2 linked regions of the Neurospora crassa OR74A genome follow. The protein of the gene in region 1 binds, or shares a complex with, the protein of each later gene. Links are inferred from orthologs where the notes say so. Each region holds a gene or a part of one and is shown on either strand. Other genes may lie near its edges.

What was found.
Region 2: the proteins of NCU00477 (region 1) and NCU01112 are in contact, whole or in part, in a crystal structure (PDB 1WPX), measured with the Saccharomyces cerevisiae proteins. The link is inferred for Neurospora crassa OR74A from reciprocal best matches to the Saccharomyces cerevisiae genes PRC1 and TFS1. Residues at the interface, in NP_014026.1 of Saccharomyces cerevisiae: Gly164, Ser217, Ser221, Ser257, Tyr258, Leu289, Arg327, Leu331, Val341, Trp342, Val345, Pro346, Thr348, Ile349, Tyr350, Asn352, Asn353, Leu356, Ala357, Gln360, Arg361, Val366, Tyr367, Cys373, Asn377, Cys379, Cys409, Asn410, Phe411, Asp412; in NP_013279.1 of Saccharomyces cerevisiae: Met1, Asn2, Gln3, Ala4, Ile5, Phe7, Ala10, Ser11, Asp13, Ser14, Lys17, His18, Ile35, Ala37, Val38, Glu39, Pro45, Val46, Ala47, Met48, Gly49, Asn50, Thr51, Gln62, Phe63, Gln64, Thr66, Asn68, Gln70, Phe133.

The regions. Positions count from the first base shown.
Region 1 is NC_026503.1:3,983,686-4,000,001, forward strand, and holds NCU00477 (carboxypeptidase Y), read left to right. Parts: upstream 1-5,774; 5' UTR 5,775-6,002; coding exon 6,003-6,504; intron 6,505-6,569; coding exon 6,570-7,732; 3' UTR 7,733-8,191; downstream 8,192-16,316. Other genes in the region: NCU00474 (hypothetical protein), read left to right, coding at 1-218; NCU00475 (40S ribosomal protein S18), read left to right, coding at 2,054-2,077, 2,677-2,714, 2,824-3,010, 3,066-3,287; NCU00476 (UPF0023 family protein), read right to left, coding at 3,676-4,623; acon-2 (aconidiate-2), read right to left, coding at 9,967-12,281, 12,346-12,535. UniProt on the Saccharomyces cerevisiae protein: Vacuolar serine-type carboxypeptidase involved in degradation of small peptides. Digests preferentially peptides containing an aliphatic or hydrophobic residue in P1' position, as well as methionine, leucine or phenylalanine in P1 position of ester substrate.
Region 2 is NC_026505.1:2,937,056-2,952,826, forward strand, and holds NCU01112 (lipid binding protein), read left to right. Parts: upstream 1-8,930; 5' UTR 8,931-9,031; coding exon 9,032-9,186; intron 9,187-9,264; coding exon 9,265-9,293; intron 9,294-9,354; coding exon 9,355-9,903; intron 9,904-9,966; coding exon 9,967-10,004; 3' UTR 10,005-10,486; downstream 10,487-15,771. Other genes in the region: NCU01106 (L-amino acid oxidase), read left to right, coding at 1-1,131; NCU01107 (short-chain dehydrogenase), read left to right, coding at 1,754-2,443, 2,521-2,832; NCU01108 (hypothetical protein), read right to left, coding at 3,342-3,449, 3,536-3,811; NCU01109 (hypothetical protein), read right to left, coding at 4,970-5,072, 5,149-5,549; NCU01111 (erythromycin esterase), read right to left, coding at 6,104-6,732, 6,791-7,586; NCU01113 (hypothetical protein), read left to right, coding at 11,191-12,681; NCU01114 (DUF858 domain-containing protein), read right to left, coding at 13,084-13,216, 13,311-13,948; NCU01115 (tRNA-splicing endonuclease subunit SEN2), read right to left, coding at 15,030-15,771. UniProt on the Saccharomyces cerevisiae protein: Specific and potent inhibitor of carboxypeptidase Y.

The sequences.
Region 1 (16,316 bases):
CGCCTAGGGAGAAGGAGATGCGGCGTTATTTTCATTCGATGAAGCCAGCTCGACTTGCGGACGCTCTGGGAATCGAGGAACTGCTCAGTATTCGAGGCCTTACGTCGGTTTGTGTCTCCCACGTGAACGGCAGACAGAGCACAAAGCGCACGGATGAAGAGCGGGCAAATCTCCAGGGGCTACTAATTTTCAAACTCCGCGTCCCCGAGCTCGACTAGGGAATAACATTCGGGAGGGTGAGGCGGTCGTGCCAGCCATGCTTTGGGCGTGGATGCCATATAGGGGGTTGGGCGGCCAGGTCATTCAGGTGGAGGAATGCGGAAAATGACCGAAGTGCAAGCGCTTGGGCATGTGGAAGCGAGCCATAATGACAACCTGTTGGGTTCTCGCTGATGTGTTTGAGCGATGTCCGAATACCTTGAACGAGTATATGGAGAATTGTAGATGTCAGGGGCTGAATGGATCACATAAGGGGGAGGATCTCGATCTCAAGCCAGCAGTCGATATACAGCAGCAGGGTCTCGACTCATGAGGACAAAAACGTCAAACTGGGAAGGAAGATGTTGCAACGAGAAATTGCGAAAGCCTCCATAGGGAAAGAAGAAGGTTCCGCACTCAATGAACGTCACAGAGTTTATTCTTGTCTAGTACGCAGCTCGCAAGGAGGCGCATCCTGGCTCAAGATCAACCCCAGGGCAGGATAGTTGACCGAATCAGGCATAAGACGGCATCGCACAAGACATAGTTATGGACGGCACTGGAACCTACTGTTTATCGTGTCGAACTAACGTCCTCAACCTGGGAAGACAGAGACACATTCCGCATAAGGCTTTTGTGCCCCAGCTAGGTCGATGATTTGGCTCTTGGTAGCAGAATGGTAGTCATTGCTTTTGGCCTACATTCATAAGAAAGACGTGACGTGTCGGCATATAGTTCACCAGACGTGGAAGCTTTAACGTTTTGAGTTGTCTTTGAGTTGCCAACGGGTGATGAAATTAGGAAGGGTGAGGTTTTGCTGAAAAATGTGTTAATTCGAAGTTCAATGTGGACCCACTTAGACATTTCTTGCCTTGCCAATTGCCAAAAGGTCCTGGCAGCTGTCAGATATCTTGTTTACTGCGCCCTAGCACCGTTCCCTTGATACTTCAACACTTTTACGTCAACCATCAACACTGACATCCTTTGCAGCAAATTTATACCGATATTGATACGAGCAAAAACCGAAGTTGCAAACTCTCATGCCATGAGTTCGAGCAGATCTCTGCCTCTAGAGACCTTTCCTAGATGGAAAAGGACAATATCACAGCTAGGAACAATGTAGAGTTGAAACTTCGCTTCATGTCGTGGCTCTCAATCCTTCCCAGATACACTCCCCTCCTTCTCAGGGCTCTGTTACATCTGGAGCTGTAATCACTGTGGCGCTTGTGTCGCCTACTACGACATTCTCGGTTGGGCTATTCTGGCATTTGAGCGGTGGCCGAGCGTATTTCTGGTTCCACAGACTTCTGGCTGTTGGAGCAGGCTGAACGCATTTGGAGACTCGCTTCATTAACTTTGATAGATATGGTCACCGGCAATATCCATGCATTTGCAAGAAGTTGCTGTTCTGCCAAACCGTTTGTATTTGGGACAGATTTATACAGATTGAAGTGCTCTGAAACGCGATATCTACAGGAGATCACATCGCAAGGCAGGTGGCTGGTAGACTGGTTGAAGTGTTAAACCTGCGAAACTTCGTTGTGAACACGATTTGCTGTTGAGGTGAAGGACTGCTGAACGTCAGAGGTTCGCGAAGTGAAGGGGCAAGCGAGAATCGGGGTTAGGGTCAAGGCCATGCTTGAATCAAGACATTACAGGCAACTGACAGGCACCTGCCCGTGCACGAGCCATCTGCTTCATTCACAGCATTGCACGACACTTTTGCCCCGCCACGTGACGCACAAATTTCGAAAACCATCTGGGCTCGAATTCGACGGAGCACTTCCCACGAACCTGCGACCGAACACACAGCACAGACAATATCGAGGCGGTATCCTCGAAATCATTGCCCAAGATGTCTCTGGTGTCCGGCGAGAAGGTATGTTGCAATCCTGCAAATTCATCTCCTCCCGAAGAAGATCATGCGTTGCCCAAAAAAAACCGAGGTTCTTGGCTGCGGTCGTTGTTCATCCTCTGGCGCCGTGGGGATGCCATCACGAGTGAGGAGCTGGCGTCGCTGCCCACCTTCAAAACCGATGCAAATACGAGACGATTCAACGCGAAAATACAAGGAAGTGGCGTCCCATGACAATGTCGCGACAAACAAACGGTTCATCGATGCGCCGGCTTCCGAATACCGATGGCGGCTTCAAGCGATGTGTAGGCATGGAAGTGGATATGGCTTTGCAGTTAGCCTGTGGTAGACCGAGGATGAAGACGAGCGACACGGCCTTTGACGACGCGAGATTGATATTCGACACAGTACGCATGCGGTGGGCGATAATAGAGATGGCAATACGAGCACGCGACCATGAGCATTTGATTGAGCACTGAGCTCTACGACCGATGCTTGGATATCGCGGCAGCCAAAGGAGAACAACACGGCAGAACCAAGAACCAAAACCAGCAAGCGCTGGGATGCATGATCTTCGACCGGATATTCTTTAAGACGCTTTCGGATGCTAACAGTCTTTTCAGAGCAACTTCAACCACATCTTGCGTCTGCTCAACACCAAGTATGTTCATTCAGGCACCTCATGATCTTAACCATATCGCGAATCCGGAACAGAACCGTTTTCAAGAGGAGGGTCAATATGTTGAATATGGACGCTGACTTTTATGCAGCGTTGACGGCAAGCAGAAGGTCGTTTACTCCTTGACCAAGATCAAGGGTGTCGGTCGCCGCTACTCCAACCTCGTCTGCAAGAAGGCCGATGTCGACCTGAGCAAGCGTGCCGGTGAGCTCACCTCTGAGGAGCTTGAGCGCATCGTCACCATCATGCAGAACCCCACTGCCTACAAGATCCCCGCTGTACGTTTGAACGGATTTCACTCGATATGACTTCGTCGTCTAACCTTGTCTACAGTGGTTCCTCAACAGGCAGCGCGATATCGTTGACGGCAAGGACTCTCAGATCCTCGCCAACGGTGTTGACTCCAAGCTCCGTGACGATCTTGAGCGCCTCAAGAAGATCCGCGCCCACCGCGGTCTCCGTCACTACTGGGGCCTCCGTGTTCGCGGTCAGCACACCAAGACCACTGGCCGCCGCGGTCGTACCGTCGGTGTCTCCAAGAAGAAGGGCAACTAAATCTGTGCGGGCATATTCGGCGCTGCTTTTTCTGGGTTATTGGTGGTGTTATTCCAAGACGGGCAGTCATGGACACCTGGGACTGAATTGTTTCGCCTTGCGCGTATCTGGATTCTAGGTAGCCTATGGCTAATGGGGGAACTCGCATAATGGAAGACACATCATTGACAGCATGACAATAAACGGCGTGGATATGGAAAATGATTTACTGGCATTTTTATTCGGTCTCTATGGACGTGAAACACGCAAATCCATTAAATCCATTGCCTAAAACAACCCACTATGATTTTCGATGCCATAACGCCCACCCCATGTATGTGACCAAGACCACCATAGACGAAGACCCAGAGAGTATCAGCCAGTTAAATCGAGAAACGAAGTCATGGCTTTAATCTTCGTGAGTGACGGCCATATCCAGGACCTCTACTCTTCCCTGTCCCTTGGTTTCGCTTCCGATGAAGTCAGACAAGATTTTAAAAGCACCGGGCTCTACGAAGCCCACCAGTTCCCACTCTTGGCCCATGACATCTTGGCTCTCAACCTGCTCAACGAAGCTGAGAATCTTGTCCTTGACCGTTCCGGGTGCCTTCTTCTCTCCCTCCTCGCCATCCTTGTTGGCCTCCCCCTTGGGAGCCTTGACGGCCTGCTTGAGCACATTGGTCGTGCAAGTGATGCGTAATCTCATCCTCGCCCTGGCAACGGGTATAGGCTGATGGGCAACGAGCGCCTTCATGGCCTCCAGCGCCTGCGACTTTGCGCTCTTGTTTGTCGAAACACCGGTCCAGATGGGTAGGGACTTTGTAGGCTGCGGCTTCGCCTCGCCGCTCTCGCCCGTCGCCGGCGACGCCGTACCGCTCGCGGCCGCATCCTTCTTCTCCTTCTCCTTCTCCTGTAGCTGATGCGCCTGCGAGCTGAGCATGTCCAGCGCCTTGTCGATCATGCCGGTGGTGTAGACCTTTTTGGTGCGCGGGTCGACCAGCTTGCTGGCGACAATGGAGACGACTTCGTTATGGACGCGCTCCAGCTGCGCGCTGCGCTCCTTCTCGCCCACCTGCATCTCGCCCTTTTTGAGAATCTCCAGGATGATGTCATTGACCGAAGTGTCCTTGCCAAACGCCTTTTGCAGCTCGGCCGTCGGCGCCGTCTGGCCCTTGGACACGTTCAGAAAGACGTTGGGGATCTGCAGGACGTTGTCGAGGTCAGTCTCGATGCCGGACCGCCATTCGAGCACTTTGTTCTTGTAGCAGGCAACCTCGAAGCGTTTTTTGCCCTTTTTAAGCCGGACAAGGGAGACGTTGGTCAGTTTGATCTGGTTGGAGGGCTGTTGGATCACCATTTTGGCGGTGGTTGTGTAGTTGTCGTGAAAAGAGTATAATTCGATGGTTCGACGGTATTGATTCTCCGGGAAATGAAGCCGTTGAAAATAGCTTCGAAGGTAGTAACAGTCGGGTATATAGGATGCTGGACTGGCTTTTCTGAGTAGCTGATATGTTTCCAGAAACCGGGCATACAAGTTGACTTGCTGCAGTTTCTCTGAGAATGCGCCCGTAAGAGAGATAACGATATGCCCGTGGAGCAGAAATTCTTGGTCGCCCGCAGCTTCCACTTTTCTCCGCTGCAGAGCGGGCTTTGAAAGTCTGCCCCGCCTGCCCGCCGTACCGCCCCAGTCCCCTCTGATGGACGGATGGGCCGCCCCATCGGATCCCTAGCCGAATGACGATTGACGGCGGGCAAAAAGCGGACTTGTCAAGCACGCGATGCGGGAATTCCATTTGTCCATCGGATGAGTCAGTGGGTCTTTCTGTTATCGATACCATAACATCACGCTTGGAGACGGGTTTGTCAGATATTCAACATGATAAAGACTGACACGAAGTGAGACCTCTTCAGTTTTGAAGACAGGAAATGGATGTCAAAGTCATTCAAATTGCAAGGGATCATTTTTCATTACTATTATCACATATTCTCTGAAGCTGGCGCCTGTTCGAGTTGAACTTGCCAGGAAAGCAGCACAAAATCACCGTTCGTCTGATATCTTTCAGGGGTATCACGCTGCATAATGCGCGACTCATGAGGATTATCTACTGGAGTTCCGTGAAGGATTATCATCTCCTCCTGGGAACAACATTCTTATATCCGGAGTTTGGAGTATCATACATGGACAATAATTCAGCAATGAGAAGGAAATGAGTGAGTTGTTGTCGGGCGGTGGACATGGAGTCGCATCGAGGCGACCTTGCTGGCGAGGTTGAGACAATGACGAAAGGTAGCTTATCAGACAGATAGGTTGATACCAGGTTGATTGGCGCCACGTCTTGAGGCCAAACTGTACAAGAAAATAAGAGGTACACATGGCGGTGAGAGCCTTATAGGCGGCCCTCTTCACAAGCGTTTGGTGATTTTTTTGTCTGGCTGATCGGCTAGGCGTCCGTTCTCATGACCAGCGTGACCGCCCTGCAAGGTACCTGACCAATACCCAGGCATGCACTCATGTGGCGGCGCAGCGTCTATCCAATCCCATGCCAGCTTGCCCCAAATCCTGGGGGGTTCTGCTGCATCCGCGTCCGGTGAAGCTCGGTTCCGGGGCGTTTTACCTTGGCAGTTGCTTGCCCATCCATTTCCGTTATCAACCTCCTCTTCCTTCCTCTTCCCCTCTTCCATCTTCTTCTCATCATCCATCTGTATCACAACATCAATACTCCTAACATCATCACAATGAGGATCTCGGCTTCAACCGTGCTCCTCGGGGCTGCCTCGGCCGCCTCGGCCGCCTCGTTTCAGAACCAGGCCCAGCATGTCCTTGCCGACAACTTTCACAAGGCCCATGACGCCGTTAAGCCCGTCGCCGACTCGTTCGCGCACACTACCCTTGAAAGCTTTGAGGAGGCCTTCAATGGCATGAACTCCCAGGCCAAGGCCCTTTGGGACGAGATCAAGCTGCTTGTTCCTGAGAATGCTTTCGATAAGCCCACCTGGTTCAGCAAGCCCAAGGCTGCTAAGCGCCGCAAGGACTGGGACCACGTCGTCAAGGGCGCTGATGTCCAAAAGCTGTGGGTTAAGGGCGCCGATGGCGAAAAGCATCGTGAGGTTGGCGGCCAGCTCGACAACTTCAACCTGCGCGTCAAGTCGGTCGATCCTTCCAAGCTCGGCGTCGACAAGGTCAAGCAGTACAGCGGTTACCTTGATGACGAGGAGAACGATAAGCACCTGTTCTACTGTAAGTCAATCACGCTCGAATGTACTTGGTTAGTAAAAATCACGGTGCTGACTCGGACTGTCCAGGGTTCTTCGAGTCTCGCAACGATCCCAAGAACGACCCCGTCGTTTTGTGGTTGAACGGTGGCCCCGGCTGCTCTTCGCTCACTGGTCTCTTCCTTGAGCTCGGCCCTTCTTCCATTGACAAGAAGCTCAGGGTTGTCAGCAACGAGTACGCTTGGAACAACAACGCCAGCGTTATCTTCCTTGACCAGCCCGTCAACGTCGGGTACTCGTACTCCGGCAACGCCGTCAGCAACACTGTCGCTGCCGGCAAGGATGTTTATGCTCTCCTTACCCTCTTCTTCCACCAGTTCCCCGAGTATGCCAAGCAGGACTTCCACATTGCTGGCGAGTCTTATGCTGGTCACTACATCCCTGTCTTTGCTTCCGAGATCTTGTCCCACAAGGATCGCAACATCAATCTCAAGTCCGTCCTTATTGGTAATGGCTTGACTGATCCTCTTACCCAGTATGAGCACTACCGCCCCATGGCCTGCGGCGAAGGTGGCTACCCCGCCGTTCTCAGCGAGAGCGAGTGCCGCAGCATGGACAATGCCCTCCCCAGATGCCAGTCTCTTATCCGTAACTGCTACGAGAGCGGCAGTGTCTGGTCGTGCGTTCCTGCCGCCATCTACTGTAACAATCAGTTCATCGGCCCCTACCAGCGCACTGGTCAGAACGTCTATGACATCCGTGGAAAGTGCGAGGATGATAGCAACCTCTGCTATAGCGCTCTTGGCTGGATCAGCGACTACCTGAACCAGAAGGATGTCATGGACGCTCTCGGCGTCGAGGTTGAGGGCTATGAGAGCTGCAACTTTGATATCAACCGCAACTTCCTCTTCCAGGGTGACTGGATGCAGCCCTTCCATCGCCTCGTCCCCGGCATCCTCAAGGAGATCCCCGTTCTCATCTATGCCGGTGATGCCGACTTCATCTGCAACTGGCTCGGCAACAAGGCTTGGAGCGAGGCTCTTGAGTGGCCCGGCAAGAACGGCTTCAACAAGGCTGAGCTCGAGGACCTCTCTCTTCCCAAGGCTGACAAGGAGTACGGCAAGGTCAAGTCCTCCGGAAACTTCACCTTCATGCAGATCTACCAGGCTGGCCACATGGTGCCAATGGACCAGCCTGAGAACTCGCTTGACTTCCTCAACAGGTGGTTGGGCGGTGAATGGTTCGAGCAGTAAGAGGTTCTTGACCTAACAGGAATCGCGACCGGCAATCGGGGATCTTATGAGTGTATGATGGATAATGATTGATACGGAATAGGTTTTGGTTACGACAAGGGCGTGTGTATACAACGAGGGTAAAGACCATCGGGACCTTACGGATTCCCTTGGCTAGTGTCAGAGAGCTCGCGTCTGTTTGATGGTTCAGACAAGACCCAGCGTGGCGTAATGAACAGCACCCGGTAGAGTTTGTATACAGAATGAAATTTGTTTTATTGTCAATAAACACTACTCCTAAGCTCATGGACACCATTTCTGACAGTCCACCTGAACAGCCAAGTATGGACAGTCATCATGATGTTGAATAATACAAAGGGAACAATGCGCAGATGTTTGTCTCTTGCTTCCAATTTACTGTCAGATATATTTCGACGACTTGGCTGAGCCCGTCTCCACTTTTAAACCCGATATCTCGCGTTGTTGAATTTGTGTGCTTAGAACTGATGACCAGAAAACGTACATCCGATCTGTGTGGTGCTTCTTATAGTAATCATTGTTCGTGGTATAAGAGAACACGCTCTATCTAGGGGATCTTAGTTGCGAGGGCGTTGGACACTGCTGTCTTGTGTCCGTAGAGGCAGGTCTGCTGACTTAGCGGTAGCTGTCTGGCTTTTCGAGGAAGTCGGGTTCAAGAATGAACGCATACAGTCTCATACAAACCAGACGAGCAGATTCTTTGAGGAGAGGCAGAGGCAGCGAGTAGAAAAGAATAAGTCAAAGATGGTAATGTCATACATCATTCTGTTTTACGATACTTTGGTTCACTGGCAACCACTCAGCTCAGCTCAGCTCTTCCTCATTTCCTCATATCAAAAACTGACTGGGTCGATTAAGAGGGAGGGTACGACACGTAGGAGGATGATAAAAATAACAATGGTTGATGGATGGGTTGGGTATGTTGAAATGAGAACTGAACTCCGGGAAGTCTAAGCAGCTAGTAATCTTGTTATGATAATCCAAATGACGATGAGCCCTAGCCAAACCAAGCCAAAGAAGGAACCATGCAACTGAAGAAGAAAAAAAAAAAAAAAAAAAAAAAAAGACAAAATGACAGACGGAAAAGGAAGCCAAAAAAAAGGAGGTATCATGTAGAAGGTCAAGTCTTTGTCAAGACAGGTAAACAAGAAGAAAAGAAACACACAAAGAAGTGATAAGAATGAAGCAAGTCCCATGCAAACCTCTACTAATACACCGACACAACCGAAGTAGAATTCGCGAGTTCTTTTGTTTCCTCGGATGAGCCCAGAATAGAGTCGAGCTTCTTTCTCTTTCTTTTCCCCTCGCTCTTGGGAAGATTGAAATGGTGGTAGTGAAACCTCCTACAAAAGAAGAAAAGTAATCACAAAAAAGCATGTCTGTGTGAAACAAACTCGGAAGAATAAATAACCAACAAGAAGAAAACGAAGAAGTAGAAGAAGAATAGAAAAAATAAAAAAAGAAGAAGAAGAAAAAGCCGACAGTAAAAATGCTCTCTCCCCCTCTCCCCTTTCCCCCCCCCTCCCATTGCCTTTCCTAATCATGTGTATACGTGTGTAATTTCGCCGGTGCATCCTTTCCTAATCCCAACCAACTCGATCAATCAATAATCATAAATGCATCTTTTCTCTCCAACCCCTTACTGTCCCAACCGAATAATGAGCAACCGAATGTGAATAAAAAGAAACTTCGTGTATTGGTCCACAAACCCAACCAGAACAAATGATCTTCCTTCCGATTGGGGGACGACACTGACACTCCTCATAATCTCTGGGCGTCCAGTAGGCCAGTGTCAACCAGCATCGATGCCAATTGAGAGGGTTTGTGGTCGGTATTGAGACTTGTGGAGCCAATGATGAATGGGCCACAGGCTGGCGTTTCGTAAGAATCTCGCGAACCTCGATTCTATAAATTGCAACCGGGCTCAGCAGCGGCAGTGATACGAGGGTAGGCGTCTCAACAACACCCCTAAGATGAGATGGAAAGGGAGACACTTTGCGTCAACACCATCAAATCCTATTGCGGTATTATCGATGTTGCACGATCTACAGCGGAAAGCTTCATGAGCCGCTGGGTCGAGGCCTCCATTTCTTTGCGCGCTTGACGATATCGGGTGAAGAATCCGAGAGCGTAGCATCGTTATCATCTGCCGGGACGACAGGCATGCTACCTTGTTTCGGAGGCGGCGACGAAAGCCGAAGCAGAGAGATGGTGCTCTATCCCATCGGATCTGCTGACCTTTCGGGGCTTGCGGGGCATGATGTTTTTCCCTTTTTCGATTTGGTGAACGAGGAGAATTTGGACGAAAACTTGTTCTTGAGACCCATCAGGCTCGCCTTCTTCCTCATCGTTTTACCGTTGCCGGTGTCTTGTTCCGGTTTCAGATATTCCTGTCCTAATGTCGATCCGCTGCCATTCATGTGACCGTTTCCGTTAGACATGTTATCTTCGTCATCGCTTATAAAATGATCGAGTTTTTCGTTCACTTGCAGCTGATCTCGGTCCGAAGACATCTTGGTCGCCTCAGGAATTGCAGTCGGAGAGTCTGGGGCTGTGACAGTCGTCATAGGAACACCGACAGATTTGTCCATCGAGTCCCTGCTGATGATGCTCGTACCCTGCGTACTAGGCGAGAGCGGCATCTTGCCCGTCGTCGCGCTGTTTGCCTGCGAACCCCACTCTCCCGAGCAGGGTGCTGAGCTGCCTTCGGTCGCCTCACTGCATCGCTGACGATTCGATCCGTGTAACCCGGCACCTCCACGGGAGAAGTCGGTAGTCGTAAGACTGGGAAGCACACCGTTAGGTCTTCCATCGAGGGCACTTTTTTCTGTTGGAGGCTCCGAATCGCATTTCGGCGGGGGGCTATATTTAGAGATGCCAGGTTGGTTTTCCATCGTCGATCCTGCCGAGGGGAGTAGGAGTTCATTCTCAAAGTGAGTAAGGTTGAGTTCCATTTCGTCAACGGAGAACTGTAGACCGGGCAAGATATCTGCCACGCCTCGGAACAGAGGGAAGGCAAACAATTCCATGAATTTTAGCTGGGACCTGATCCGGCCGTCAAGGCTCGTCGATGGTGGAGCGATAAGTGCCGTTTTTTGACCCATATCCATCTCAATCTGAGTCTGCAATATAAGCTCGTCATTCAGCAGGTGCATCCACTGTGCACCGATATCGTGTCTCCGTGCGACGTTACTGATGTCAGCGCACTTGATTATAAGAGCGCACACTAGCACCCTCGCCTCGTCGACAGCCTTCTCATTCCAACCGTCAAGATCAGGTTTTTGAGCTTGAAGTTTTTGCAAGTTTCCGAGTTTTGCCATGTAGTCGAAATGCAGGGCCATGTCCGTAGCCAGGATACAACTGATCATCAACGTGCGCAGACGCCTATTCTCGTAAAAGATCGGCCAATGTCGCTTGAGAATCTGGCAGTAGCTGGTGCTGTGGAAATTCTCCAGGACTGAGCGATCGTTGTAAAGCTCTGCGAGAGGCGCTCGTGCCTCGATCAGAAAGCCGTTGTTGACACCGGGATGCAAAACATCGTGACCAATGGCAGTAAGGAGAAGGGTGAAGGCTTCTTCCGGACCTATGGAGGGTGTTCCAGGAGATTCTGCGATTGGGCTTGTATGAGTACCGTTGACGTTTGGATAAGGAGGCAATGCGCCAATCCGGAGCAGCTGCTGAAAAGTTGCCTGTAGAACGTCGACAACATGTCGAAAGTTATGGTATGGCACAAAACCCATATAAGCAGCCCGACAAGCTTTGAGGAAATTTTGCAACTGCGTTGGCGAGATGCGAAATGCCTTTAGCTCTGGCATGGATAAGGCATGGTTTAGTGTGAGTTCGGCTGCGACTATCAGCTCGTCGTAGTCAAATTTGTGAGCATCGAAATGCCATGTGCTGATGGCACGGGAGATTTCAGCTCGCTTCTCTGGGCATACCGAGATATTGGCCTTATAGATCTCATTATCTCTGTCGTCCTCCGTGCTGCAGATCTTCTTAATCAAACTCTCCACGAGGTATTCACGGAGATAACCATACGGCCGGGTATCGTTGAACACAGCGATCAGTGATCGTTTTCTGCCCTTACGCACGTCCGCCAATGCTTGTTTCCTTGAAAGAGCGTCCTTGTAAGCGTAATATGCCCTGTCTTGAATCACTGCGATGCTCTTAGCATTCAGGGGACCCGACAAGACTGCCTTGGCCCCAAAATCGATACATTGTTGTCGCATCCTCGTCCTATCTGCCCCACTGATGTTGTTCATGGCGTCGGGTGATTGGATGAGTGGGACAGGTATAACCTGCTCGTAGAGATGGCGAGCACGAGCTTCGGACTCGATCTTTTTAAGTAACGAGAGGCCGTACGAGTTGCCATCGTGGCTCTCGTCCCTGCGTTCATTCGGAAATTGGGCCGGGAAGAACTGCTGGTAAGGGGTGTCTAGGAGGATAATCGTTGGTTGAAGATCGGCCTCGTGATCTTCTTGGGGCTGGAGCCAGTGGGACATGCAGGCACCCTCAGTGCTGCACAAGTAAGCTGCGTCCGAACAGTTAGCACAAAAGGTCGACATGAAAGGATGGATATCAGCGGCCCCGCAAACCTTCTGGAAAAATCTCCAAAATGCACTTCACAGTGTCGGCAATGCAGTTTGGTTCCGTCTTTGCAACATACTCGTCCAAATGCCTTGCGCTTCGTTGGATGCAGCGGTCCTCGGATACTGAGCGGTTGACGTATATAACACGGTAGTGGATGTCCTCCATGGCAACTTGTGGTTCCTCCATGATATCCATGTTGACTTTTGGTAGTGACCAGTCTCCCTGCGACTGCACTCTGGTGCCGAAAAAAGATGACTGTCCAAAACCACAACCTTGAATGCTTGGGTTTCTTGCCGACGCACTGAAAGTAGCCAATGCTTGTTTTGGCCTCGGGGAAAGGGACCAGCAATAGGCCAAGACAACTCCGACAGCGTTTGGACGCCGATGCCTCTTTTGACGCAACCACTAATTGGTTTAATTTTGGATCGGTTTTCTCTATTCCGAAGGCGAGGCGGTTGTGATCGGTGCGATAGCGAGGGATGCAAACTCCAAAGTCTCGGCACGAGTTTCAAAAGTGGACTGGAAATGCTGGCAGGCGATATTTGCGACAATGAAAAACAAAACTGGAATTGTGGTGTCCGACGAGTAGGAATGATTTTTTCGAGACGCTCAAGGAGGCGAGGAGACTGCTAAAGGGCCGATCGAGGTCGAGTTGCCTGGGTGGTTAGGAACTAGAAACGCGACGCACAGAAGGTCAGATTGAACAGAATCCCGGCGACGACGGCATGCGCGTCTAGACAATTGTGCCGTAAATCGCGGGTAGTCGGTAGTTGATGACATGTAACGGGTGGTTGTTGTCGTGCTTCAGGCGGACTGAGACTCGGGGGAAATTGGAAGACGAGGAGGATGCAAAGAAACAAAAAGGAAGGATGGAATCGCCTAGGGCGTATGACTGGAGGTGGTGGCAGACATAGACGGGAGAAGAGATAGGGGAGGGCGTGGAAGGAGTTTTAGAACTCGCTACTTTCCAGTGAGAGGTGCTAACGGTAGCAGTATCCGTACTCGGTACACACACTGGGTAGGCAGGCAGGCCAAGCAAAGGTACAGGTGCATGTACCTTGCTGTGCAAGTAGAGGGCAGGTAAGGTACCTTTGGAATGGGCAAAGAATGGGACGGGACCCGAATGTGGGTGACAAAGGCCAGGTACCTTCCCTTCTACCTCTACACTACCTCTTACCACGTCGAAGCAGCGGATAGCGGGCGGGTATCAACAAGGAAGAGGAGGGAGGGGGGGGGGCAGGGCGATGCTATACGTACATTGGACAGGAGATGTTTGCCGTTGGTCGATATTGGCTGCCACGGCAGCAGTGGTTGGAATATGACAGAGACAGGGAGGCCGGCGACGAAAGGGAAAAAGCCACGGCCCCTATGGAGATGTGGTGGTTGCTCAATTGGTAACCGCAAATGTAATAAAATGGGAGAGGCTAGACCCGTTCGCTTTGGATGGGCATGGGTTTCCAAGGGCGGGGTTCGCTTCTTACATGTACTCTATCTAATTTTTTTTTATTTTTTATTTTTTGTCGTCGTTCTTTGGTTCAATGGTCCTTGGCTTGGGAGCTGGGATGACGCGCGAGCCTGGCGACCGAACACTGGTAGAAGCCGGCATGGAATCATGGAACCCATCCAGCGCTGCACTAGTATCAACACTTTGGTTTCATCCACCGAACCTGCGCGGCATGGCACTCGGGTTGGCCGATGCCTGAGCGTGGATCAGCGCCCGCTAGGTAGGTAGGCCTGTTACGTCAAGATCCAAGCATGAACAAGAAGGGAAAGAATGTCGAAAAAAAAAAAAAAAAAAAAAAAAAAAAAAAAAAAAAAAAAAGAACGGATGCCACACAATCCATGCTTGGCGAGAAGCCATGTGTGCGGCGCGCGACGGCTTCTTGCAAAAGGGAAGCAAGCAGGCCAGGTCGATGCTACCAGGGTCAAGTGTTCCCCCTTTCTGTGAGCCAGTCAGGCTCGGCCAAACATCAAGTGAGGAGCGAATGGGAGGAAGCCCGACATGGGCGGGCAGACCAGCCAGGGTCGGCCGCCTTGCAATGGACGGTTGGGGAAGTTGCTGCGCGAACGAACGGGAAAGGTATCGCTGGCACGACATTTCAGTGGCCCATCAGCGAACAGCCCCAGCTTTTGGCCGTCTTCGAGAAAAATCATCGAACGCGCTAAGGCAGCCCACGTCTCCCGCCCACCCGCGCGCACAGCACACCAAGGCACCATTGAAATTGAAGGAAGCACCTGAGGCCCCTTCTGCAGCATCCTCTGCGCCTCACAGCACACGACTCGATGCATTCCTGTCTACGAGTGGACGCACCACAGATTGTCATGCCGCCGCAGGTCCCACGGCCGGGTTTCTATTTCTCTGGAAGTCAGCAAATACGGTAGGTACCGTATGGTGGTCGAGGTGGTGGTCACTGCAGTGCCCTGTTCGCATCACTGCCCTGCCCGGTCGCTGTGGCCGACCTTGACAGTGTGCGCTTTCCCTCTTTTTGACAGGTGGACCGAAAACTCGGACCCACAAGGGGTGCAGCAAATTTTGCTCATTGACCACCTTCCATCTGATCATGACTGGGATTGCGAAAGCAGATTAGGTATCTAGGTACCTAGAGGTAGCTAACCCCCCTCCCCCCCCCCCACCCCCCGGTCCGCGGTGTCCCGTCTGGGCAATTGCTCTCCGTCAGTCTCCGTGCAGCCGCGTCGGTTTCCGTCCAAGGCCTGGCTGCGGTCACTGATCTGGGAGGGGTCTGCTGTGTCGGGTGGCCCTGCCCTGGTGGCCTGCGCTGCACGGCCCACTGTCATCATATCTTGTTCTCGAAGGAAAGAACATTCTCACTTTTGTCACCCAGATCTGGCTGCGACACTCCTCGACATGCGCAACCTTCTGACTCGATTGTGTGCCCGTTTTGCGGCAGGTACGACCGCTGGATCATATGGATGCCCCGGCGTGTCAGAATCTCCAAAAGTGCACAACCCAGTCGCATCCCCAGGGGCAGTTGGGGCTTTTTAATCAGAAGAACCGCTAGCGCTGCCAAGGATTGTGGTCATCAATCAGGAACCACACGCGTCCTAACAACACCATCATGATCTCTGCCCGCATTTGCGAGCAAGGTCAGGAAGTTGTGCAACGTCCCGATAGACCAGGAAAGGATTTTTGTTTTTCACTGGCTTGTGGACAGGGTCCCGACTTGGTGCGGGGCAAACAAACATCCGAACAGCACCGATGCCGACGGCTCACAGGGGTTCACTCGCATCCACAGGCACACACAGGTAGAGAGAGGTATTGATCAGATCTCGGTGCTGGTCCCAGGCAAAAGTTGTCGCTCAAGCTGCACTTGCTCGCCAACTTGCCATTGAATGCTGAAGACGTTCCAAAGCGGAGTGATCTTCGGAGTCGGCGACCTCGGGGCGACCTCCACCATGCGCCTTCAGCTGTCTACATGCACTTACACACACATCTCGCATATGTACTATATCGGCCACATTGACACCTTGATCCTCCCCGTCTTGCCCGTTCCCAACCCAGTCCTTATAGGCTCGTATATGTCACGATGGCAAGGGTCAAATGCCCAGGCCTTCGCTTTTCGTGCGCGCAAGTTACCAAGGCATAGGGCATTTTTGGCTTCCCTTCCCTTCTTTCTGATGTTTGCTGACCTGGCGTGCCTGGGTTTGATTCGCCTCGGAAATATCCACCTTTAGTCTCTCCCACGGTCCAATATTATATACAATCTAATACTAGTTCTTTGGTTAGCTTAGCACTCCTGGTATACTGGACCAGATCGATGCCGATTTGTCACAAACCCTACAAAGACAGATTAAGTGGCTAGGTTCGGATCAGAGGGCTATTAACAACATTCAACATGACATTAAACTCGGAAATAGCATATCCAAGGTAAGGTCACGCCTTGGTCATGGAACAGAACGAGTCAATGACACACCAAAATGCCTAGGGAAGCTAGCAGGAGGTCAGTCTCGAGCTAAC
Region 2 (15,771 bases), on another chromosome or scaffold:
GACTACTGCGACTTCGCTGCAGCCAGAAATGTCGAGTGGAAGCGTCTTGAAGGCGGCATGAGCCAGGTTGCCGACCGCATGAAGGAACTCATCGAGAAGCCCGACTGGCCCGTCAAGGGAGCCCCCGCGATCAAGGTCACCACCTCCCGCCCCGTAACCGTTATGTCCGAAACTGCCGACCGCTCCGCCATCAGCGTAACCACCACCTGCCCCAAGGGACAGTCTCCATCCACAACCGACTACAGCGCAGTCTTCTCCACCACCGCCATGGCCCCCCTCCGGCGCATTGACATCGAAGGCCTGCACCTCCCCGACAAGATCCTGACCGGCATCCGCTCGCTCAGCTACGACCGCGCAACCAAAGTAGCCATCAAGTTCGCCTCGCCATGGTGGACTCTGGTAGGCGGCGTCTCGTCCACAGACCTGCCCATCTCCAAGGTCGTCTACCCGTCCTGGAACGACGGACCTGATAAGCCGGCCGTGCTGATGGTCTCATACTCCTGGGCGCAGGACGCTACCCGCATGGGCGCCTTGGTGCCGGATTACACCAAGACTTTGCCCTCTAAAGACGACGAGGTCGTGTCCGTCTGTCTTAATGCTTTGGTGAAGCTGTTCTCCAAGGCCGATCCCCAGACCATGGCCGCCAATGTCCCGAAGCCCATCACGCTCGACTTCCTCCGGTCGCAATACGTCACGCACCATGCCTTCGCCTGGTCTCACGACCCTTGGCAGGGAGGCGCCTTTGCGCTCTTCGGACCGGGCCAGTTCAAGGACGTGTACCCGGATTTCCACAAGGCGTACTGCAATGGCAAGTTCTTCATGAGCGGCGAGGCGTTAAGCACGCACCATGCTTGGATCAGCGGGGCGGTGGACAGTGCCTATATGAGCTTTGTGTTATTTACGACAGTGTATAAGCTGAAGGAACCGATGGTGAAAGTTAAGGAGAGCAATCTGGTGGGCGCAAGAGGAGAGAATCCGGAAGAAATTGATGAGTTCTTGTTGAGGTGGGCGGCGAAGTTGAGCGAAGGAGTTGAGGTTGAGGGGGATCAGAATCGGGGCAGTGAACATAGGAACTATGGACCTGGTGAGGAGAAAGGGGGACTGGATGATGACTGGTGCGATTGTTGCTGAGATGTACCTATCGATAGCTGTGAAGGTTAGCTGATGTTATCAGGTGGCTCATCAATTAGCACGAAGTTGATGATCATGGTATCCTGCCTCCCCTCTTCTGTGTGTAGGCCAAGAATAGCGGGGCAGTTACGATAGCTCATTTTTTCCACCTCGTTGTCGTGATCATATGGACAATCTCGATCGATCTACGTACTACTTCCTTTGACTGTCTGTTAGTGAGTGTAGATCATGGTTCTTAGTGTGAAAGATTGCGGCAAAGCATGCGGCAGTTCATCCGGAGTGTCAAAATGAGTTCTTGTTCAGGAAAGTGGTGATGTCATCACCGGCCCCACTTTTATAGCTGTACCTGGAGCTAACGTCACGACCTGATGATCGAGGATGTTCCCCCTCAGTCTCGACCGGTGTAGGACAGTAGTGACGTTAACGAACTCCCGTTGAGGAAACATCAAAAAGTCAATTACTACCTCCTTGCGTATTCACCCCTCTTCTCATCTCCAACCTCCAAACCATCTCAGGATTCCCTAACCAGAGACCAAACACACTAACAATCACTACCACTTACACCACCACCAACCACTACCTACAAGAAACAAAACAACAACAACAAACACCACAAGGCAACATGCAGTCCATCCTCCAAAAAGCCACCGGCATTGGCCCCAAGCCTGTCCAGCCCACCGACCTCAACGGCCGCGTAGCTGTCGTGACCGGCGGCGCCTTCGGCATCGGCTTTGAAGTTTCTCGCGCCCTCGCCAATGCCGGCTGCCGTGTTATTATGGTGAACCGCAAGGAAGAGCAAGGCGACGATGCCAAAGCCACCATCACGGCCGAGACCCCCGGCGCAGTCGTTGAATGGCGCGAATGCGACATGGGCAACCTCTCACAGGTTCGCTCCGTTTTCTCGGAGCTGCGCGAGCAGCTCGACCGGCTCGATTTCCTGGTTCTGTCGGCAGGCATCAACACGAACCAGTACGGACTGGACGCGGACGGGATCGATCGGCACTTTGGTGTGAACTACTTGGGACAGTATTATGTGGTCAACCAGCTCTACCCGGTGCTGAAGAAGACGAGCAAGTTGCCGAATACCCCCGCGCCGAGGGTGGTGTTTGAGGCGAGCGAGATGCATCGGGCGGCGCCGAGCGCAGTGCATTTTGCTAGTCTCGATGAGATCAATAACCCGGACTTGGGACCGACGGAGTTGTACGGGAGGACCAAGTTGGCGATGATTCTGTTTGCCAAGTACGGGCTGGCGGAGAAGGTGATTAAGAAGAACGGAGACAATATCTATGCGGCTTCGGTGCATCCTGGTGCAGTAAGTTTATTCCTTCTCTCGCATCAGAAACATTGCCTCTGTTGATATCGGCTTGCTAACGTGGAATACAATAACAGGTCAACACCGCCATGCAACAACAATGGAAGGACGCCTACCCCGGCATCACCGGCAAGCTTCTCACATGGGCCACACTGGCCTTTGGCCGTGATGTGAAGCAGGGGTCTTATAGTGCCTTGTGGGCGCTTACTGACCCCAAGATCGAGGAACAGAACTTGAACGGATGGTACTTCAGTGACCCCGACCAGCCTGGCAAGGAGACTTCCCAGGCTTCCGACCCCGTTCTGGGTCAGGCTCTCTGGGATCTGAGCGAGCGTATCATCAAGGATAAGCTTGGCGAGGATGCTTTGGTTGACTGGTACTCTGCTTAAAGTACCTACACGTCAAAGGGGAGGATGAAGAGTGATCACTTTCTTGTAACGACGACATGACCTAGAGATTACCTGCCTTAACTTGATAGCAAGCAAATAAGCATTTGAGTTTACAACATTTGATCTTTTCGCCGTTTTGGTAATCATAATGTCTAGATAAAAAATTACTGGCCCTATCATGGTCAGTGACGACATTTTGGGTCAGATGAAGTGAAGCCCTTTGGGCTGGCTCGTCTCTCATGGAAGGCAATCTTTACAAATGTCGAAATTGTTTCTTTTGGACCCATCGTGCTGTACTAGCAAAGCTGGTATGGGTTGGCAATATCTGATGTAAGTCTCTAGTGATCCCAATCAATCAAATTCTTCCCACCAGACTTTTTAGTCATTGTCCATATGCTATGTTTCTTGTGTAATCTCTCCCAAAGCCTATCCTCCATAACTCCCATGCCTAAATGTGCAAACCGTGTCGTCGTAATCATTATAGCAAACTTCGAACGAATCCCAACTAATTAGGACTCCTCCTTGGTCTCGGACATAAGTCTCTCGTTCTTGTCGGCGATCGACTGAATCGTGGCGGCAGTCGATCCCTTGGGGGGACGGTGACCAAGAAGACGTGCCTGTAGGGAAGCCCAAACCGGTTAGATTTGCTACCGCAGCGGTGATGATATGGTGCTGGTTCATTGAAAAGGGAAAAAAAACACACCTCGGCGCTCTCAACAGCAGCCGCATCCTCTCTGGTGACCTCGTTGACGGGCTTGTGAGACACCTCGCTGGCCACCTCAATGAAGTGCTCCTGCTTGGCCTTCAAGCTCTGCGCCGTCGCGGCAACTCCGCCCGCAATAGGTCCACGACCGTCCGTCAGCTCAGCCTCCGTCTTGGCGATCTTTGAAACCTCATCGGTGGTGATGGGGTGGCCCTCAACAGCACGCTGCTGGAGCTCCTCACGCGAGGGAAGTTGCTGTTGCTCGGTGGTGCTCATGTTGGTGTCTGGTGATTGATCGCTGCTGTGTTGTCGTTGATTGGCGTCACAGTCACGTCCGTTGTTGGTGCTTGTGAAGCCTTCTGTATCTCAGTCGGAAGTGTATGTTTGTGTTGCGGTGTTGGGGCTGCGAGATAGAGGTGGCGGTGGTGGTGGAGGACTGGAAGTTGTGTTGCTGGGTGGGCGGGAGCTGAAATAGTCACGTCTGGGGACCAGTGGTAAATGAAGTCGGCGTGGTGTACTGTGGATTAAAGGGAAGGTGCTCGTATTATTTGATCTGGTTGTTCTGTCCTCGGTGAGTGGCACGGATGGGCTCTTTCCATCTCACGTAGTGGACAAACGGGCTGGGGTTGACCGGCTGTCAAGATTCCCAGAGAAGTGACGCTAACAGATTTGGCCAACAGTTTGCATGATATTCGTTAGTAGATGACTGAACTAACAGTTACAACTAACTTGTTTGGGGGCTTCCTTCCCGTTTGAAGAGAAATTCGATGGCCTTGATGACGTCTGAATCGGCGATGAGTACCCTGATCTGATGCGATTGCCCTTGCCTGCGGGGGTTTCTGGAAGCTGTTGAGCCACTGATCTTGAAGTTGTTTGTTGATCACTTTCCCTGCTGGTCGGTGGGCGACTTCTCTCAAACCCAACACTACACGCAATCGGTCACTGAATATCACCGCATGGGTTTTCAAACGAGAAAGGAACGGACCGGATCTTGGCCCGAATGTTTCATACCATGGACAGGACAGACACTAACGGGAAGCCGCCGTAGGCAATGAACCGCGGCTCCGAATGTTCTGCTCCGTGCCGTGCAAGCCGGGAAAAGGGGAGCGGGATGGAGCCTTGGCGTTCCGGTTTACACTACTACCTCATGTCCGCCGTGTGAGATGCAAGAACGGTCACTGCCATTCAACCGCACCTACCTACATCTTTTCTTTCACAAACGATCGATGAAAGGAAGGAACTGAATCAATAGAATTTGATTGCATTCATTCCGTCGTTTCTGAATTTCACTTTTGGTGGGTAGGTGTAACGAACATGACATAATGCCTCGATGTTGTTGACTTCTCCATATGCCTTGAAACCCTCCTTGACTTTCTTGACTCCTTAGGTAACCTCCCAGGTCCAGAACGAACATTGTTGAGTAGCAGAAATGATTTAGTCCATGGACTCTCCAAGATCTTGCAGCTTCTTGCGATCCTTCTCCTTGGCCTTCTCCGACACGTTGGGGTTATTGATTGCTGCCTTTAGTCCGCGGATGCTATGCGAAACATACTTGTCAGCTACCGTACATCTCGGTTTTCTGACTTTGTTTGTGTGGGTGGATCGGGACTGACACGTTTCCTCTGTCCTTTCCTTCAAGATTTGCAGACGTGGATGACTCGGTTTTGGAGCCGGTGGAAGCATTATGAGAACCCGTCGACTTGCTACGACCCTTCTTGGCAGTAGACGACGAAGAACCAAGCTTGCTCGAGGAAAATTCTTCGAGAACTTCCTCCTCTGCAATATCTGCGCTATGCCCTTCAGGCATGTGAGTTCCGAACTCACTTTCCAAAATCTCGCGATCGCGCTGCTTGGCCTGCTCGGATACGCGCGGATTGTTGATGGCAGCCTTGAGGCCGCGCTCACGGTTTCCAGGGTCCATCTTTGTTAAGTAATAGGTGGTAGTAGCTATCGGTCTGGCGTACAACAGTGGAAAAAAGGGCTTCGGATTCAAGGGGGAGGGGCTCCTAAGCATTAGATGGCAGCGACGATGAATCGGACTGTCCTGTCTTCGTACCAGTCAAGAGCTGCTTGGGTGGTGGAAGATGCAGGAGCAAACAGGATCATGCGCGCACACTCTGGCGCTTCTTGGATCTTTCAAGCACTTTCCCTCATGCAGGGCCCTTTTTTCTTCTTCTTTTTACTTATCATACTGTAATGTACTTTTCCGCAGTGACGGGCGTTTGACGTTATGCTCCCCTCGCTTTCCGGAAAAGACTCCGTGCTTGCGCGGGGGCAGTGCACCAACTTGACATCACATGCCTGTCAAATGTCTAAAGAACATCAGATGACCATCTGGAGGTACGTCCCTACCCTACAATCCATCGTAAAGTCAGTCTCCGTTAAATTACTTTTCCAAAGCAGTGGGAAGCCCCTTGCAATGTGGTGTTCCTCATCAACTTCCCGATTCATCTTTGTCATGATGTTTCATGATGTACCCATATCTAAGCCACGGGAAAAAGAAAACCACGTCCAACGTGTTTACAGTTTGCTGTGAAGATGGTGGTGCATTCTAGACCCCTGTCTTTCTCATAACCCGAAAGGCCATGTCTCATCAAACTCAAGCGGCCCAGGAGGTTGATGAACCTCCAACGCACCCACCTCTTCAGTCTCATCAAAGTAAGCAATGCCATCAAGCTGCTCAGGCAATACAGCAAACGAGTAATGTGACTGTCGCTCCGTCGCGGGAGCATAGATGACCCCAATGAACCTCTCCAGTCTTTTCTCCACCAAAGCTTCCCTCAACGCCTTGTCGCAGTGCTTTGTCCTCAGGTCTAGCACAAAGTTTTTGATACCGGTATCATGCATCAGCCTCTCATAACTGTTGGGCAAGGCTGGTTTGACATGCATAACACTCATGTCTCCATCCCAACGTTTGGCGGCGGCAACCTTACCCGTGTATCCCAGGCAGCCGATGGCCAAAGCCTTCTTACCATAAGCCTCCTTGCACAGCTGTCCCACGTTGAGTTCATCCGCGGACCAGCTCATACTCGTAGCGCGGGCATCTCCAATGTGGCTGTTGTGCGCCCACACAATTGCCTTTGAGTGGGAGCCGCGATGGTCGAGGATGCGCTGGAGGGTTTCGAACATGTGTGTATCGCGGAGATTCCAGGATTCATCGCGTGCGTAATACATGGCTCTATAGTAGTGTTCGGCATCTGGTGAGTGTCAAGTCAGTAACAGATCTGATAACCCGCAACCGCAAGAAGAACTGACCTTTTACCAATCTCGCATTCTGTTCTCCTCCGTGAAATTCCTCTCCATCCCACTTTGCCCGTTCGTACTCGAGCCGTTTACTTAGCAAATTCTGCAGCACCTGGACCACATCTTCCTCATAACCTTTGAAACCCTTTCCCCCGGATACCAGCGTCTCCAGTCCGTATTCGTGCGGATCTTCAGACCAGTCAAGCAGCCTAGAGTAGCACCGTTTTGCGGTCTCCGCCATGTCCTTGTCCACCTCTTCCAAATAAGCAATGACGGCCCGCATGGATGCGCCCATGCTGTACAGATCCAGCCCGTAGAATCCAGTCGCCTCCTTCTTCATATCTTTCCCTTTGTTCCAACACCTCAGCCACTCGACAAAGTCATGCGTTTCCTTGTTCCGCCACATCCACCGTGGGAACCGCATGAAGCTCGGTTCTCTCCCTGCGCGCCGCGCTTCGGCTTCGGACTCGATCGTTGCTCGTGGGCCCGGCCCTGGGCGCCGACGGACATATCGGTCAATGGACTCGGCGTCAGGCCAATCGGCTTCGCAGGCGACTATATTGTAGCTATGGTGTTCGATCATGTAGCGTGTGAGCGCGGCGCGGAACGCGTAGAACTCGGAAGTGCCGTGAGACGCATCGCCAATTAGCAATACCTTGGCGGAGCTGAAGGAGTCGAAGTATCGAAAAATGTCCTTCTTGGGGTCGTCTAGGGCTTCGGAGAGCGAGGGAAAAGGATGGACATGTCTTCGGAGAAGCTCAAGTGGTGATGCGGGAGGCTGAGGTGTCGACTGTCTGGAGAAGTGCATGGGAGTATGGCTCCGGCTGAGGCTCTCGACTCCGTCCAGGTGTAAGTGCGCGGCGGCGCTGTCAGTGATTGAGGACATCCTGTCCCTGAATTTGTGCATTCTTTGTGGTAAGTGGTTGCCTTGATGTCTAGGTGAAGAAGGGATGTGATGAAAAGATACTTGGTGGTATAAAGGGAACACTGCTCGGGAGCATCTTCGAGCACGTAGAGGCGGCGAAAGGGAGATTCTCTCGAGATTCATTTCATTTACCTTCAAGCAGGGGCAAAACTGCCTACCTAACTAATTACGGACGAGAAGGGATCCCCTAATGTTAATCCCAGGATACCCAGTCCATGGCGAAAACCACCGCGGGGGAAGTTCTCATGACTTGGGACGATGAGAAGCAAATGAACGTTGTGACGACAATATGACGCTCATTGATCACATACGCATGTGAGTAAGCCATAGGTTGCCCGCGAGGGAGGCGTTCGAATCCATTGAATCTGAAGACTTTGACATAATGGTGCGGAGATGTTCGAAAAGGTTAGGGCGCCTAGGCTACGATGAAGCAATGGACCGTATGCGAAGGGGGATGGATGGGGTCTCACGAACTCTTCCCGCGAGCCTCTTTGGCTTACAACGGTATTTCGTGACATGTACTGTAAGAGTTGTTACCGACTATTCTTAAATGCTTGATTTCACAACCGTTTGAAATAGGACATAGATGAGCTGCTTGGCCAATGTTTCACAGCTCTTGAATAATTTGAATACTTTTGGACGTTTGGGAATCCGGACGCTTCGTGGCCGGGACAGTCAATTGACGGTGATTGCAATGCATGACCAAATCGACCGTACGTCGTGAGCTACTTATCGAAGTGTCCCAGTACTTACGTACTGTACAGATGTGAGAGAGAGAAGGGGGGGGGGGGGGGGGGGGGGGGGGCCTTGAGAAGGAAAAGCATGAAATCGGGACGTACTTACTGGTGGCACAGGGGCAGGAAGGAGAAGGGAAGGAATGGAACGGAACGGGCAAGATTTTCATGGGACCTTCCTCCAGAGTCTCGGGTACGGTCCCTGCCCGAGCTTCCTTCCCGTCACCAGCAAGGTTCTCACGTACGCCTAAGCCTGCAGCAATGAGTCTAGACTTGCTTGCATGCCACCATGTTATTTCCTAACTTGGCAATGTCAACCCGAGGAAGATCGAAAATAGCGTAAAGTCAACTCATACCTTTTGATTCACAAAAGCGACCAACACAGACGACCAGCTGCAGTTGTTCTTTCCGTTGTTCATGCAGTCACTGCTGTGTGCATATGACATCATGGATCCTTATCAGTTGCCGGCCATACGCTGATAAGACCTCCCCAGTTCTCACACGGGTTGGAGGAGCATCGACGACAAGACATTTTCAACACAATCTCAATCACCCTACTGAATTCGAACCTCTCGTCCTTTACAAATTTCAGTCATGAAGTTGGCGTTTGGTCTTGTTATCTTTGGCCAGCTCGCCAGGTTGGCTTATGCTGCGAGCTTGGTCCGCCTCCCAAATCAACATGTTTTGGCTGGTGAGCTCGACAATGGAGACCAGCAAGCAGCCAAACTTCCGCATGAAGTCAGAAAGGCGTAAGTGATTCAGTTAATTTAACCTTGTCTTGAATGTAAGCTGTTCAGTCTTGACCCCGTCTGACTCGTACCTTGCAGATTGAAGAAAGCAGAGATCATTCCAACTGGTGAGTCGGATCATCGTTGAGAAAACCGGAGTGACCTCGCAGTTGACGATCGCCAATACAGTCATGGATGACTTCGTTCCTACCTTGGACTTAAAAGTCAAATGGTCCCATGGTATCAAAGCGTCTTTGGGTAATACTCTCAAGCCAAAAGACCTTCAGGATCCCCCCTCCATTCGTCTCAAGGACTTGGTGGCGTCTACAGCATGCCTTCGTCACTCTAGCACAAGTCTCGTGATTGTCATTACCGATCCCGATGCCCCGTCCCGCGATGACCCCAAATGGTCTGAGTTCTGCCACTGGATTGCTGTTGGACCGCTCGTAACGGCCGATTGTCCCATCAGCGACGAACAAACCCAAATCCATGGATGTTGTTCGTCCGATTCACTCGGTACCTTGGAGGATATCGTGTCTTATACACCCCCGGCTCCGCCCGAAAAGACCGGAAAGCACAGATATGTCATCTTGGCCCTCGCGCCGGTCAATGGAACGAGCGAGAAGCTGCATTTGTCGAAACCCAAGGAGAGAAAGCGCTGGGGATACGACAAAGCGGTGCACGGCAAGACGCATGGTGTAAGAGAATGGGCAGTTGAGAATGGACTGGTACCCTTTGGTAAGTCGTGGACACAAACGGAAAGGTCCATGGACTTTCTCGGGCTAACATTGAGTTACACAGCGGCGAACTTCATCTATGCGCAAAATAAGAAACAGTGATATCGAAAAACACTAGTTCAGTGATGTGAGTGTTCTGGGCTTTGTGGACATGCAAATCATGTTGATGGGCGTGAAAGAAGACAAAAAAATGAGCAACAAAGGCGACTGTTAGAGATACAAACACTCCCATAGAACCCGTGCTTACTTAAATAAAGCGTCAAAAACCCCGGCCGGTTCCAGATACACAGTATCATCGCCGCAATTTTACGGACACGAACTTTAACGATGAAGAAATAAAGACCTGGGCGGTTACAGAAAGTCAGGGTACCCGGGGGTCCCGGGCGATTGTGAAATGTTCACAGGTTCGAAGTAGTAAACAAGTGACATTCCATTTCCTTACCCAAGTGATGTCTCTTCCTGCAACGACTTTAAAACGCAAGACCCAAAAGTGTACTCGGGTAGCTAGAATGCCATGCACCTGTATCGATGTGCTGGAAGAACGAAGACGTGGAAATTCAGGAAGTTGTCCCCAAAATGTGGAGGAAAAAAAGAAAAAAAAGGAAAAAAAAAAAACCTATCTTCAAGCCACGGAAAGGATGCGTAGGCTCGACCCACCGCTTCTACAATGAGACGCTAAGTCAGACAGATGCGTTGATCGTCGCTTGCCCAATACGAAACACTCTGAAACTATTCGCAGCTAAGTGTACCTCTAGGATTGGCTACAAACACCGATACCTCTCTGTCATCAGATCGGAACATCAGAACTAACCTTTAAGTAAGTAAGCAATTCCGACCAGTTATGAGTCGACCACACATCGGGTGTTCTTGTGCTTCTTTTTTTTCCTTATTCTTGGTAGTTTGCGCGCTTCTGCTTTTTGCGGTAATCTATCCTACTTACGCATCTATTGTGAGATATGATGACTCGTTTACAAGCTTACCCAGGTCTGCTACACTGCCATAAACCATTCAGTGTTGATTTCTTCCCAGCTTCCTCCCAGTATCAATATGATGTCAAAAACATCAGCAATTTTGCCCTGTATGTGCCTCCTCATACCTTTGGGTGTAGCATACCTAGCTTTCGAAACCATACCAAAAGCTTCTCTGGCTCCATGAGCGCTCACATTCGCCGTCTAACCGACTCTCATGACCGCAAATATATGAACCCGACGGCGGGGCCATCAAAGCACGACATCTTATGCACCATCATTCTCATCCAGAACACAGACCAAAGTGTTCGTCACGAATCATGCGTCTCATTAAACAGCACGGTGAGCTTGCTCCTGAGCCCGGCTACGTGTACCGTTTTGACTCCACCATCCCCCATAAACGATATTACTTCGTCAGCAAACTAGGTCACGGACTCCAAAGTCATGCTCAGCTCGTCCAAGACAGAGAGACAAGCCTAAAGGTGGTTCAGAAAGTGGACAGGAAACTATGTCCCTCCGCTCTCGACCATGACGAGCCAGCCGAGATTAGCGTCCTACGCCGCCTCACCAGTTCCCACCGTCTCGCCAACTACCAGCCAAGATGGATCACCCTTCTTCATTACGAACAAGTCGTTGCTTACCAGAAGACCGAGAAGTCCGGTAGGCATTTGAGCTACCAAGTGAGTTACTGGAAGTTCTGTAATGGTGGAAACCTCTATGGCCTGGTGAACCCTTACATCATGGAACAACGGCCGTGGCTAGCACGTAGCCAAAACGGTACGGCCCCTCAAGCTCCGTTGCCTAAGCTTCCCATCTCACTAGTTGCGCGTGCTATCCGTCACATATGCGAGACATTGGAGGTCATGTATCAAGGAGGCGACGAAGCCGTCTACCACTGCGACCTGCACGCCAGCAATATATTTCTTCACTGGACCAAGGAAGACCCTCTCCCAAAGTTTTACATAGGGGACTTTGGTATGGCTCGAACCGCAAGCCAGTCACTCCTGGACTCGAGGAAATTTCACCCTAGAAACGGGATACCATTCGATAAGCAGCCGCAGGGAACCAAGCCACCGGGTCTTGCCCCTGAAGGTTCCCGCCGTCGATGGGATCTCATCATGGACCATGACTGTAATTTGACCAAGATGTTTTGGTCCATGAGCAGAAGCGCAACCAGAGATATCGGCTATGGCAGTGTTCGACTACCAGTTCCGCGACCTCAAGCGCACCGGAGAGATCTGGTCAAGCAGATCGCGCAGCAGAAGAACCATCCGACAACGTCGAGGCATAGACACAAAGCAAACCCCGTGTCCGCCAGCCCCGAAACATGTAATGGACCATCTCGGTCCTGGGGCTATGGCCCAAATTCTTCATGTCAGCAGGACATAAAGGACACCCACGCCCGACTCTTGCTCGAGCTCATTAGAAACCTCGGTTTCCTGAACGAAAATGACCAATTACACTCTGTACTTCAGCCTGACCTGCGTCCACCATCCCTGGGTCGTATTATCGAAGTCGCAGGGATTTTGGAGAAGGAGGCTCTACAACGGGAGCAACATACACGTGCGTTCAAGGAGTTTGTCAGGGAAAGGAAAGAAAAGGCGCTGTTTCAGGAATTTGAGAGTATTCCGTTTGTGTTTACACGTGACGGGGCGGAGGCGAAGGCGATCTTGAGGAAGGCGTTGAAGCGTCCAAAGAGGAATCCTTTTGAGGTCTACCGTGGGAAGTTGGATGAACCGGAGAGTCTTGAGGAGGTTTGGGGGAGGGAACATGTGGCTGGGCCGTGGAGGGTTGTGCAAGTTAGGGTGTAGGATGAGAAGAAGGACGAGGTTCAAGTGGCTCAGCTAGGAAGGAAGGGAAAAAGAAGTGGTGTCTTCAGCTGTCGAAGTGATTTAAGTGTATTTCAAGTTGCTCTGGTGCTCCGCTCAACCTAATCTGTAATCCAAGACAACCTTGAGGCGGTCCAGTAAGGTGGTGTTTGGTGATAGTAATGGCCTTCTTGTACGTTGGATGCCGGATTGGACATGCCAGGAAGTCAGGAACCTGGAGGTGACGGCCTTTTCTCTCTTTTGGGTGCCTACCATTCCACGTAGACCGAAGGTGTCCATAACCCCTCAATAATGGTAAACCTAGTGTATCCGTGTCGGTCGCTCGTTTCCACATATGCTGTATAGTGACTTTGATCGTGGTACTTGTTCTTACTCTCCAGATCCTCAAGGCTTCAGAGCGTACATCCGTACCGGCAGGAGCTTCATGGTCCTCGTCTGGGGGAAGCCCTTCTGGAACTCGGCCTTGACAACCTTCAAACCAGCCTTTTGGAAGACTTTCTGGAATGTCGCCTCGCCTCTGTTTGTCATTACCGCATTTCGTTAGTCTCACCCACCAAATCTCAAACAACCCATTTCCATCACCACGGAGTTCATGGGCAAAAAAGACTCACCTCGTAACACTACTATCCTCCTTGTCAAACTCATCATTCCCCAACACCGTCGTGTTCTCCTTGATCACAATCAACCCATCCTCAGCCAGTGCGCTCTTGCACCTTTGCAAATACGCCACCAGCTGCTCATCCGTCAAATGTCCCACGCACCACTGCGTCCACACCAAATCATACTTATTCTCCCCCTCCCCGACCTCAGGCACCCACTCCTCCAACCCCATCACGTACACCTTCCCCACCCCCTTTTTTCCCTGCAACTTGGCCGTAAACTTGGCAATTGGCTCAACCACATCCACCTTCCCAGGTCCTTTCCCTCCCTCGTTCTCATCCACCACCAACAAATCAGTCAACAAGCCCTCCGTGATCCTTCCCACGCCTGCCCCGCCCTCTAGGATGCGCTTGCACCTGCGCAAGCCTGGCTTAGAACCAATGCCGAACTTGGCTAGGAAATTGCGAGAGCCCTGCAGGTCGATCTTGGACGTGTTGGCGAAGCCGGCGAAGGTCGGGATCCCGCCTAGCATGCCGTTCTCGTCGGCGCTGACGGATTCCCAGTAAGCGAGACCGTGCTCTTTGGAGATGGAGGCGTCGGCGGGGGTGGAGCCGGAAAGCTGGGTGAAGACATTGTTCGGGTCTGACATTGTGGATGAAATTTAGTTTGCTAGGACCGATGGGGTGCTTGATGTTCTTGGAGTATTGCGGCTTGATGAGGTTCGAAGTCCGGGTTTCTTTTGCAATGGATGATGAGACTCTTGGCGGGTTTCTCTTGGCGGTAGCCGTTCTCTCGAAAGGGAAGAAAGAAACCAAATTTTTAAGAGTTTGAACAAAAAAAACGGGGATAATGTGATGAGCGGTTGAAAATGATTCGTTCGTTTATCAAGTTGTGAGGTTTCAGATCTCGAGTTTGTTTGGTTGTACTTGTACTGTTTCAGGCCCGGTTTATTCTGCCATTCGTGAATTTTGTGCAATCCCGCGTCACGTGGGTCCCTTGGGAAGAAATAATTCATTGAGGTTGTTTAGCGGTGACGAACCATCAGAGTCTCCCCAGTTTTTATGGTTCTATTTACATGGCCACATCATAATCCCCTGTTCTGCCAAAAATCCTCGACGGCTGATAGCAAAAAACAACAGAAATATTGAAATGCAGCTTCACGTTGGACAGCTCAACCCTAACCCTTGCTCCTACCGTGTACTGTGGGAATCTGAAGGAGTTGTGTGTGATATACTTGGTAGAAGGTGTGATCCAAGGATCGGCAATGTTTTGCTTTTTTCTAATTTTTTTCTCAAATTTTTTTTCTTTCTTTTTCGCATCTTGAGATTTTGAGAAATTGATATATGGACGGCAACAAAAAGCAACATATGTCACAGTTACGGTCACGTACGTGGTATCTGTTTTCTCCGTACGAGGGACAGGAAGCGTGCGTTTGCGTTTATTTTATGATTTCTAAACTCGCCAAGACGTAACATGGTAGAATTAGATTGAAGTGAGGGAAAAGTCTATACCCATTCGCACGATCTCATTTCAGCATGTGTACACCAGCTAACATGATATCTTTCGAAACATTCTGTTAAAACTTAGAAATCTAGCCATGCAAATGGTGCTACAGTCTATGTAACCTTTTCCCATCCTGCCAGACAACCCAAAAAGAAAAACCTAGACGCCATGCAATGCTGTTTAGGTGTGCCCATGCTTCGTCGACCCCAACATGCCTCTTAATTTTGCTACCTGTTGCGGTTGACGGAGAACCGCCTGACCATAACCTCACGAATCGTAAACTTCTTGAGCGCAGCCGCAATACCACCCTTCTTCATTTCCTCATCAAACACTGGAGGGGGCGGCACGTCGACATAGACGAGTACCAAGCTCTTGAGCACATGGGACAACACACGGTTGACGCCCATCAACCAAGACCAGGTTTTCTTGGACTCCTCGTGCTCGAACTCGCTCCAGCGAGGATCGGAGAATGACGGTACTACCATGATACCGAACTCAGAGTGATCAAAAACCGGGCCGCGTTGGTAGATGATCCAATCGACGCCAAACTTGATACCGTGACGGGGGACCCAGCCAAGAGAGCGGAAATGGTGATAGACGGCATACTGGACAAGGAAGGGATCCTCAGGGCTCAGGTTATCGACGGATCGAGGAGGGAAGTAAGAGTTGGCACGAAGCTTGATGAGAAGCTGTTCGTTTGAGATGGGAGCCTCGGTAACTGGGTCGACAACGCGGAGAGCGCCGAGGCCAAAGGTCAAGAAAAAGGCCTCTTCAGGAGCCAGTTGGAAGTGCTCCTTGTCAACCAACTCTTGAGAGATTACGGTAGGTTCGACATTGAGGATGACAGGTTTTTCGACGGCGGAGACAAAAGAGGAGAAGACTTCAACGTCAGAAGACCCGTTGTTGTTCTTGACTTCAGAGGCTGCATCGGTGTGCTGGAAGGTGGTAGACTCGACGGTGGAAGAGAAG